Styela clava: one gene and its partners. The protein of the gene in region 1 purifies or fractionates together with the protein of each later gene. This does not show direct contact. Links are inferred from orthologs where the notes say so. Each region holds a gene or a part of one and is shown in the gene's direction. Other genes may lie near its edges. The genes, in order: vesicle-fusing ATPase-like, sec1 family domain-containing protein 1-like and gamma-soluble NSF attachment protein-like.

Region 1 (3,758 bases):
ACGTCATTTTCGTCGCTGTGTTTTTGATGTGCTGGCTCGATAAATATGTTGCCAGTTTTCCGGCATTGTGCGTGCGTTTACCGGTACATTCGGGAACATATTTCACTGTACCTCGCAGCGGGTACATTATCTACATTCGAAACGTATGAGGTAAAATAAATAATCGTGGGAATGGCATTTAAATTTAAACAACAAAACGTGGAATCAAAAAACTACCGTACTGTATGTATTGCGACAATTAGATTTTAAAATCTCAATACGAAAGTTCCGTTTGGCGTTAGAATAATTCGCCGCAAAAAAGTGAATGATAAAACCGAAGATAAAAACAGGATTCAAATGACAGAAAGATAACAAAACGCATAATCAAGTTGTAGTGAAAGGACAACTCAATAAAACTCGCTTTGCGTGATATTGATCGTAAGACAGTAACAGCATATGGCGTTGTAGTTTTTATTATTGATGAATGGGAATCTCATATTTTATCCCGAGAATTATTGACGTGGTTGTTAGTTTTTATTAGTTAAGATTGCAAAGAATACCTAGAACTGTACCGGTATTTTATGAGTGGGCTTTTGAGATTTAAATTGTAGGCTGTTAGTAGTTTTTCTTCTTTTTAGAATTCTCTCTTTTTTATACCTGTGTTAGTAGATAGTCAGAACAGATTCCAAACATAGCCAGTAGATTCCAAACATAGGCTCCACATTGAAAGACATCAATTATAACAGTGAGTACGGTACAGTACGGCACACTATACAGATCGAGAGGCATTGTCTCATTTTAGAGAATTCCATTTTGCCAATGAACAAACACCCCTCCTTTCGGGGACGTCTGGCCATTGTTGTTCCTCAATATCGGTAAAAATACAGTAAAATGAAGTTGTATAAAAAACTACAAAGAAGCGCTATCTAAAAACGTCATCATTGAATTCCTCTGGAAAAAATAATCTAATTTATTGGAGGAAAAAAATTTCTACCATGGCATTTGAGAGATTTTAGCTAAAAACGACAATTTTGGTCATGTGACAGCCACGATTTAGATTATTATTGAGACAAGCATCGCGCAATATGATGCATCTGATGTCGTGCCAGACACCCCTTGTTTGGGAGAGACATGGGAGTGTTTGTTTTATTAGACCAAATGATGGGACATTCTTGGAATTTGGAAATTTTGGTAGACACTACCTGCTACAGTTTATTTATTTGCGTTACCAAGTTTAACGAACATGCATGTTATTTTCAGTATTTCAAAGGAAAATCAGGCAGAAATGCAGAATTGCCTTTACTCTTTAGGCCTACATGTTTACAAACTTGAAAAAGCATAAATAAAGTACACATCAATGATCACAAAATTGAGTTCTATTTTGAGGCAGCAATTTTTTTTGGTGTAAGTACATCGTGATTTTTTTTCCCCGAATAGTTCCGCGCACACAAACTAACAGTTTACGAAGTGCTGATGTCTGGTATGAACAGACTTTGTTCTTATTAAGTATTGAATTATTATTTTCTTTCATTCAAGGCTCATCAAAAAAATATTACATAATAAATTATAGTAAAAATGTCCACAGAAGCTTTCAGAGTCACAAAATGTCCTAGTAATGATCTTTCGTTAAAAAACAAAGTCATCGTGAGTCCGCAGGATTTTCAAAATGGATATAAATACATCAGGTTTTGTAATCGAGGTCAGGTGTACGATTTCACTTGCCTCCCTGATCGTCAAGTACAGGATAAATATATTGGATTTTCAATGATTCAAAGAAAATGGGCCTACGTTGGGATTAACCAAGAAGTTCAGGTATTTATGATTATATTTTTCGTGATGGTTAAATTTCGTCTACGTCATCCAAAAATCATGTCACTATGATGTAACAGTGACATAATAAGGCCCGCAAAAATACATGCATAGTCGTCCCAAACGCACAGACCATTACCCTAAGTCAGCAAGCTATTTTTCTCGTCTTAGCGATCCCAATATGAGAGAGATCACTGGCGTTGTGAATTTCTTATCGGCGGCTCATATTGGCAAGCTATGTTACATGATTGTGAGGCCGTAGTCGCGCAATTCATAGATGGCGTAGTCAGGTGGGAGTAAGGAATAACCCCAAATAGGAATAACAAATATTGACAAGCGCACTGGAAGTACTACACTAGACCCAATATTAATAACCAATTTGATTTATTGTAAAATTTGTTCATGCCTTTATTATAAACAAGTGGGAGGTGCTACTTGCTATCAAACTTTCATGATCATGGCCTCTTCCAAACAACATTTAGGTTCTTATGATCTTTAAAAAAAGATAGTAGTTTTCACTCGAATGAAGCACAAGGTGTCACTATGGAATAAGAGCGCTGTTTTGAGGATCCCCTAACTTTCGATCGATAAGTCTTCGGTCTCTGACCGATATTCTCGTTTTTTACTTGAGGGGCTTCCCCACGACCTCGCCACCCTAGATGTAATGAATTGGGCAGCCAATGACGAACCAGAGTGGTGTCCATCTCTCTGAGAATAGTATCCAAATTTGATGTATCAGTAGATGCTATTACATAGCCTTGTTCAGTGTAAAAAACACCACCTAAGAAATGCTAAATTTCATTTCTTATGACAGGTTGAAAAATTCTTCCCCACAAAGCAGGATGAAATAGTTGAAACCATCCTTGAAGTGGATTTTTATAAATCAAGAGAAGTCACAAGTAAGTTTAACAGTCTGGAGAATCTATTTGAGTACTGCATGGTTTTGGATTGTGTTGCTCTTCAGTTTGGGTGCACAGCGAAAGTCAGCAATCGCCTCTCATTGGTCGATGATAATTTTATGGTGTATTCTGCGTTACCCAGCGCTTCACAACTTATTTGATATCCGAAATTGGGGTTTTGCCCGTCAAATATTCACCGTATATAATCCAATTTCAAAACTAAGCTGTCAAACTCTGATCGCACTCAAACAAAATGACATCATGCTAACTTAATTTCAACAACTCGAACTATGAAAGTCCTCACAATAAAAGCGTACGATTTGTAGGATCCGCTTATATGCAAATTTTTATAAATTCACCGTTTTGGGGTCATTTTTAGGAGGTCTGCTTATATACGGTATGTTGGGAAGACATTAGTTTTGTGAAAATTATAGCCTAGCCTACTCTGTCAGTGGACAGGCAGTCTTATTCCAACATCAATTTCTTTCAGATGATCCAGTCAACACAGATCACATGGTAGAACAACTCAAGCATGACTTCGCGCTTCGGTGGTTTGTTCTTGGTGAAACGTTGCTGTTCAGTTTTGCCGGCATACATTACGCAATTTCGGTTAAAGATATTAAAACTGCTGCCAATGATCACCATGGTGGAATTTTTCAGGTGAGTCGAACTGACATGATTTTTTTTTTAATTATAGTGTTACCCCTGAAAAATTTTATAAAATTTATTTGCAGATACCTAGTGATATCACACATTCGAAAAAAATTTGAATACTCTAGGGGTCCGAAAGGAATCGAATATACTAAATGTACATGATTTTTTTTACAAATATAGTGTTACATCTTTTCTACCCCCTAAAATTTTTTAAAAAATATTCCTTTATATCCAGGTATATCATGCATGCTAAATAAATTTGAATACTTTGGGGGTCCGAAAAGAATCAAATATACTAAACGTACATGATTTTTTTCAAATATAATGTTACTCCATCTCTGCCCCTCTGAAATTTTATAAAATATATTTGCTGATACATAATTATATCACGCATGCAGAAAATTTGAATACTTTGGT
Region 2 (3,758 bases), on another chromosome or scaffold:
ATAAGCTAAAACAACGCTTTTATTTATTTCGTCAAAAAGCATAACACGTCGCTATTAATGGTAACCTAAAATTTGCCGTTTATCTTGATCACTTTAATTTTTTTCATACGTGCTTCCTCTTCTGCCCTTTCTTTGCGTTTCTGTGCGCCACTGAGAGGTTTTGCTTTCGACATCATTCTGACAACCTTTCTAACTTTGCCGGTGCGATCAAACCACAAAACGCCGAAAATCGACGACTCCCTGGCATTGTTACGTACCAAAATGTTTTGAGCAGAACTAACATCAACGTTTTAAAATGTGCATTACTGGTTTTGCAATGCAGCTTTTGGTTTTACGGCTTAAATTTCTAAATTCTAATTTCTAACCGCTTAGGCCCCTTTGCGCTGTGGGCCCTCCCGCGACCGCGGGGGTTGCGGGGGTGGATGCTACGCCACTGCCCGCCAGTCTAGGTGGGCAAAATTCCTGGCCCCTTGTTCAAAAACCTTGCCCACCCCTGTACCATCAAGTTCATGTGTCTGAAATAAATAAACGGTCCACTATCCCATATCCGACATGAGCTGATAGGCCGTGGCTTATCTCGTCCTATCGGTTTTCCTCTCTCCCACGATAAATAGAAAAATTCCATCCTAATTACGATATATTAAATGTTTGTGCCCACTAGGTTTAAAATAGAGCAATATTGACGTTGAAAAATCCGTGTTCCCCTTAATATTTTATATCATAGCTTTTGAATAAAAAGCACCATTTTTAATTAATGGAAAAATTTAAGACCTCTATAGTCAGACTTATTCAATTTATTTGCAAAACTTTTAAAAACATGAATATTTTTCTTTAAGCTCCGAACATATTATTTTTACAGGGAGCACTTGTTAGCGTGGAAGAGCTGACGAGTCAGGCACAGTGGTTTACTACTACAGTTCCCATGTTATGTAGCTTAGCTTAATCCTGTAATCGCATTTTACTTTGATGTTATGTGTTTTGGATTGATCTGCTAGCCCGTTATTTGCTTCATGGGTTTTCGTGGATAGAAGGAGATTGTCTTTGAGTTGTTCTTTAATTTTCTAATCCTATTCAGCAAGAATGGCTGCCTCTATACGAGAACGGCAAGCAGGTATGATATATTTCTGTATTTTTACAATTCCGTGTTCCGATAAAGAGATGTCTAGGCTATATTGTTTCTTTGAACCTACAGTATCGTCATTTCTCATTTTGAGATAGGACTTTCGTATTTCAGTACCATAACCCTTTTCTGCCTTTCCAGATGAGAAAGAAATTATGGAATGGTAAAGTCTGAAAGTTGATGTGCTTTTCACAGTTTTATGGGCGCATGTTCACAAAAGGCATAAATATTCTAGTTGGCGTGGCACAAACATTTTTACTTATGTTATTCCAACCCCCTACCCGACTACGTCACAATCACGTCATAGAGCTTGCCAAAAAAAAGCTAGGTCACCTGAAAACGCATCTCTGATAATGATAACGAACTCGCTAACGCCATCGGATCTCCCTCATATCAGGATCGTTAGGACTGTAGGACGAGAAAACAAGAGAAATAGCTTGCTTGATTTTGAGTGATCGTCTGCGCGTTTTAGATGACAATCTGTATACTTTGACGGGCCTTATTTCGTCACTGTGACGTTGTAGTGGCTTAATTTTGTGATGGCGTAGTCAGGCGAGGGTCAAAAATGACATTTGCGAAAATGGTTATGCCACGCCAACTAGAAGTACTTGACGGCGTTTAGTGAACTTGCCTCTTTTTTTGCGTCCTATCATTGAATTTGGTTTTGAAAGCTTTTACGATGAGCAACCATTTATAAATAAAAAAATTTTCCCCAAAATTCTGAATATATTTTCAGTTGATGCTTTTACAAGACCTCGTTCACAGCGAAAGGCAAATAACTCGGTATAAATTCATGTTAATTTTAGTTGCCATCAAGAGAATGCTACATTTTGGAAATCCAGTAACTAAAGCATCAAGTATGGAACCAGAATGGAAAGTCTTGATTTATGATAGATTCGGTCAAGATATTATTTCACCTTTATTATCTGTTAGTGAATTGAGAGACATGGGAGTTACATTATACTTGTAAGTAAAACTATTGTTTAAAGGCATCTATTTTAGGACAAATTTTATGTACAGCTTTGAGAAAGTTTGATTATTGCAACTTCGATCAATGATGGCTCATAACTTAACTACTATACATCGATTTTTTATTAATTGGAATGACTTTATTTTTAATATAGCTTTGCATAATTTATTTCACGATCGAATTGAGGGCATAAAATTGATGGCAAGTTGCAAATCAAGTATAACTCTATTAATATTTTTTTATTCAGGTCTCTTCATAGTGACAGAGATCCAGTACCAGACGTTCCTGCCATATATTTTATTTTACCAACAGATGAAAATATAACAAGAATGTGTCGGGTAATGTTTGAAGGAATTTGTAACATTGGCTGACAATTTTCTTATGTTTTCAAAAAAACACAGCTGCCGAGTTTGTAATGAATGATAGCTTTGTGATTATTCTTTTGTTAGTTTATCATAGTTTGGGTGGACAAGTTGTGGGGGCTAACAGGGATCAATTCCAAGACATATCCTGTTATGGTAATATGTACCACTCTGTAGGGCATTTAGCCCTAGTCACCAGATATTAATATACAGTGTTGAGTGTGACAGTTTTATATACAGTCAAGTTATTAATTTGAGAATGGTTTGCTATTTGGTTATTTAGTGACTGTTTATGTTTTCTGTTCTTTTTACAGGATATGCAAAATGAGCTTTATGAAGGATATTACTTTAATTTTATATCCGCTATTCCGAGACATAAATTAGAAGATCTTGCGAGTGCTGCTGTATTAGTAAGTTATTGTTGTAAGAATTGTAATTTGGACAATGAAGCAGAATTCTGTTAAAAGTTCTTGGTCTGTCAACTTGAATTGAATCACAAATGACAAATGGAAATATTAGACATCTTTGTTGATGACGTCTTTGCTGGTGCATGATTAGAATTTAACACTATGCTAAAAGTTTTTACTAAGAATTAATGCCTTGAAAAATTTTTTTTTCGTCTATCGTTTTTCCCTGGCAATGTTGACTTGAATTCAAGGTCTCATGTCAACCATTATATATTGGAAATAAGCTTATTTATAGCTCTTACTGTGTTAGTGGTCAGTGGCAAAATATATAATGCACATCAACATATTTAATAAACATTACCAATTTTTTCATCATAGTTCCTATTTTAGTTACATTAATGTGTTAAACATTTTATAACCATACTCTCCCTTTTTTTAAGGCGAATGCAGAATCTTATGTTACTAAAGTTTTCGATCAATATTTAAATTTCATCAGTCTCGAAGATAACATGTTTCTTTTGAGAAATCAAAACAAAGATGCAATTTCATATTACAGTAGGTTTCTTTTTAGTTCAATCAATTGTCTTTTTCTAAAAATATTGAATTTATGCTTATTAAGTTAACCGTATTCAATTATACATTTGGTGATTTTTACATGCAGTTTATTGGCTTCAGCTTTGTAGTTGTTATTTAATTTAGATATTATTAAGTCAGAGTTTACAAACTCACTGTTTTCAACGCAGTTATATAGCATCTCTTGGAATACGAATGACTAAAAATGTTTGCTTCTGCAGTTATATACTGTTATAATGCCATCCATGATTATTGAAACAGGTATCAATAAAACTGCCATCAAAGACACAGAAATGATGAGCATAATTGATGCAATTGTTGACAGT
Region 3 (3,758 bases), on another chromosome or scaffold:
AATATCTTTAGGTGGCGGCGGTGTTGAATGTTTCTGTGGAGACGACTCCATTTTTACTCTGTTGTTTCCTTGGTTGTGATTTCGATTGTGATTATTATAAAATCTTCCGCCTCCGCGCTTGTTCCCTGCCATATTTTTAGGTGATCTATTATACATTGAGTAAATAATCTGAAATAAAAGCAATGAGTTACTACCATGATATAAAAACTCAAATAAGTAATGTCAATATAAGCAAGCGAAAAGAACGCAAAAGAAGCGACGAATGAACGTATACGCCTCCGAAAACCCCTTCGACAGAAAAGCGAGTTCCGCGGCCATTGTTGCTCTATGCACCTGCAAGTGATGACGACAACAGCGACACCAACCATTTTCAAAATATTTTTTATGTAAATAACTCGCTAGTCATAGTCAAAGACAAGTATATTTTTTCATGTTGTAAAATATCGCTATTTTAAAACAATATTAAACTGAACTACAAGGATCCGCATCAAAATTTACAATAAAATAAGTATAGTAGTGCAAAAATCAACAATCTCTTCCTTGGCAGTGAAATAAGCCGCGCGAACTGATATGTGCGAGATTTAGAATGTTTTTTAAAATTGAATATCTTTCAAAGCGCACATTTATCACATCCGCCTCCAGTTTATAAATACGCTCGCAATCGCATTCCCATGTCCACAATCCCGTATTTGTATGCCACAACATTTCGGCCGACTCAGGGATTATGTAAACGTTAAGTATTTCCACGCGATCCAGTATCACCCGCCTCAAACGATGTTTAACAATTAAATGTTTAGGTATTTTCCCACTCTAACTAGACAAGTAAACAAATTAGAAGACGTGGTTTGTTATATTATTAAACCGCAAATCGGATTTTCTTTCTCCTCGGATAATGTAGTGAAAGTTACTACAGAATAGACTCACGTCTAAGCAATATGAATATTGGTAATTGAGATTAATCGGTGTTGAACAGCCACACCCTTGGCGTCAAATTCCCCATTTAATGAAAATATACTAGAGTTCAGAAAGTTGGGAACTGTTTGCTTTCGGGGAAATTCAGATTTTAAGGATAGTTGTACGTGAAATGTTCATACGACACAATTTTGCAATATTTACAAATCACATGACTATTTGTCAGCACAATACGCCATTTCATTTCATAGTTTTCCAAGAACGACTAATTTTCCAATAACAAGACATTGTCGATCGACGTCTAGCAATTTTTTAAGTAATTCCAATATCACCCACCTAAAATCAGTGTGCACTAAATGAAATTAATGTAAATTTAATCAGAGGTTTTTCTTGACAATATAACATTAAAGTGCGCACCTAATTTATCTGCATGGAAATTATGTCCAGTTGTTGACAAAACACGGAATCGATTTTTGTTCATGTAGAATTGGTTGTCTGTCTGTAGTGCGATAGCGCAGTTTAGGAAGATTATTTTGATAGATTTTTCCAGAATTAGGTTCCTAGAAAGCTAAATAATGACTGATAGAGCGGCGAAAAAGCTCCAAGAAGGTTTGCAGCATATGGAAGAAGCAGAAAAACATTTAAAAACGGGATTTTTCAAGTGGAGACCTGATTATGACAGCGCAGCAGCTTCGTTTCAGAATGCTGGGCTCGCCTTCAAGCTTGCTAAGTAAGTTGTGATGGGGTTTTGTAAATATAACAGTAGTATTTGGAATTTAATAATAATTCAGTGGTGCAGTGGTAGGCCTACAATACCTGAATACCAATCTGTGGCTCAACGGGCTAAGCGTTAGGAAAACGCTCGCCACCGCACCTCTAATTACTATGCATGGGTTCGCGGGTTCGAATCCCATGCAGGGATGGTTATGTGCGGGAGGATTGCTGGACTCCTCGCCGTCGTTGGGTGGTTCACGTAACCGCTGGTCAGTTACGGCTTCCTCCACCACCAAGTCCATGCTTCCGAAAAAAAAAAAAAAAAATACAGTAAATCTAATCCCATACCCTTGGAATGGTAACCGGAGGAGAGGCCGTGGTTCGCCATATGGATAAGCCATCTTATCGGCTTTCCTCTCCCCCGGGATAAATATGTAAATCCTATCCTATCCTATAATATGAAATTGGGGAGAATTGAAAGTTTTGTTTGTTTATTTCTTGCCCAAGCCTTGTGCAACTTGGATTGTGTTTTTTTTAATTTGGTTTGGTGTGTGCTGGATATTTCTGAAGCGAGCATATTTCTTTTAAACTTTATTACGGTAAAGGTTTTGCTCGCTCTCCAGAATTCTCCATATTTCAGTATTACAGGTTTAATTTGTGTGTAATACAGACCTACCGTACAGACTGACAGTAAAGTTTTAAAAATAAACTATTGAAGAACAGAAGAGTCTGAGAGTTGAGCGATAGTTTCCAAATTCAATATCTGCCGATTTTACTGTCTTGCCAAGTTTACAAACTCAGGCCGGACGGACTTTTTCCGACCACAAGACAGTTTGTGTTCTGTAGTTATAATAACACTGTCGCCCTTGAGTGGTGCATACCATATATGTACACACCCTTTAAACCATTCCCGCGTTTTATAGTATGTGGTATCATCACTCAATGGTGTTGTACATTCATCCAAATTCTTAAATTTTTTAGAAAAAAAAAATTTTATTACTATATTCATATGCAGTGTGTTTCATGTTGTGTTGTGTCTCTATTTATAGATGTTGTTTTGTCTAACAAACTCCTTTGTACAAACAGTTTTGTACACTCCACCCTTATCCCTGTTACCGCATCCACCCACCCTCCTTGCACAACTGCCTGTATAAAGGACCATATTGTACATATTTGATTTACCCTATTATAATTTATATATATCAAAAGGGGTGTATGCCGCACATCTGTGTTTTAGGCCAATATGGTCTTGTGCATACATCCCGTCTTCAGTATTTATAATTACTTACTCTTTTATATTGCTTTTACGAGACGAATAAACATACATACATACATACAGTTATGATTTTGTTTCACAATCCCTTGCAACCTTAGCAGTTGTTTAAAAATAATAATAACAATACAGTAGGTCACAGCTCTCTGATTCTAAGATGTCCAGACATTTGGTTCAATTAAACAAACATTCCTTTTGTCTCTAAAAGAGGGCGTGTGGCCCTACAGTAGATCTGTGTCAGATCATGCCAAGCTTGTCTCAGTAATGATTTAAATCAATTGTGGCTTGTGTCGACCGGCACATGGTCAAAATTGTGTTTTTTTGCTGAAAACTCTCGAATGCTACGGTAAAATTTTTTTTGTCTTTGATAAATGAGATTATATTTTTGACGTTCCAAGATTGTGCTTCCTTTTAGTTTATTGCACAGTGCCTGTTCATGCCAATATGGAGGCCCAGACCGTCTTGTAAAGGATTGGTTTTCACTCACTGTTATAATTGATGTCTTTTAATGTTGGGGCTATTCTTGGAATCGGAGAACTGTGCCCTACTGTAATGTGATGTTAAAAAATTAATGAAAAATTTAAAAATGATAAAAAAGAACAGTAAATTTGATCATTCGAGTTGTCATATTGGATTTTTCCTCTCTACGTGAAGAAATACAGATGAAAATTTAATCCTCTTTGTTTCAGGCAATATGAGAAAGCATACGCTGCATATGAAAGATTAGCCGATGCTCATTACAAGCTTGGAGCGAGATTCCATGCCGCAAAAGCATACGAGGAAGCTGGGAATGCTTGCAGAGAACTGAATGACTATAATAAAGGCACGGTAACTTTATTTTTTACAGGGAGCTGTTGGC

The links.
Region 2: the proteins of vesicle-fusing ATPase-like (region 1) and sec1 family domain-containing protein 1-like purify together in Homo sapiens (affinity purification with mass spectrometry; 3 studies listed by BioGRID and IntAct, with this or other methods). This does not show direct contact. The link is inferred for Styela clava from reciprocal best matches to the Homo sapiens genes NSF and SCFD1.
Region 3: the proteins of vesicle-fusing ATPase-like (region 1) and gamma-soluble NSF attachment protein-like purify together in Homo sapiens (affinity purification with mass spectrometry; 3 studies listed by BioGRID and IntAct, with this or other methods). This does not show direct contact. The link is inferred for Styela clava from reciprocal best matches to the Homo sapiens genes NSF and NAPG.

What each region holds. Positions count from the first base shown.
Region 1 is NC_135262.1:1,426,328-1,430,085, reverse strand, and holds the start of vesicle-fusing ATPase-like, read left to right. Parts: upstream 1-1,518; 5' UTR 1,519-1,554; coding exon 1,555-1,791; intron 1,792-2,602; coding exon 2,603-2,687; intron 2,688-3,177; coding exon 3,178-3,347; intron 3,348-3,758.
Region 2 is NC_135251.1:11,552,445-11,556,202, reverse strand, and holds the start of sec1 family domain-containing protein 1-like, read left to right. Parts: upstream 1-899; 5' UTR 900-1,080; coding exon 1,081-1,111; intron 1,112-1,926; coding exon 1,927-2,086; intron 2,087-2,337; coding exon 2,338-2,428; intron 2,429-2,766; coding exon 2,767-2,862; intron 2,863-3,299; coding exon 3,300-3,414; intron 3,415-3,693; coding exon 3,694-3,758. UniProt on the Homo sapiens protein: Plays a role in SNARE-pin assembly and Golgi-to-ER retrograde transport via its interaction with COG4. Involved in vesicular transport between the endoplasmic reticulum and the Golgi.
Region 3 is NC_135250.1:29,672,000-29,675,757, reverse strand, and holds the start of gamma-soluble NSF attachment protein-like, read left to right. Parts: upstream 1-1,388; 5' UTR 1,389-1,487; coding exon 1,488-1,642; intron 1,643-3,588; coding exon 3,589-3,722; intron 3,723-3,758. Other genes in the region: uncharacterized protein LOC120334755, read right to left, coding at 1-156. UniProt on the Homo sapiens protein: Required for vesicular transport between the endoplasmic reticulum and the Golgi apparatus.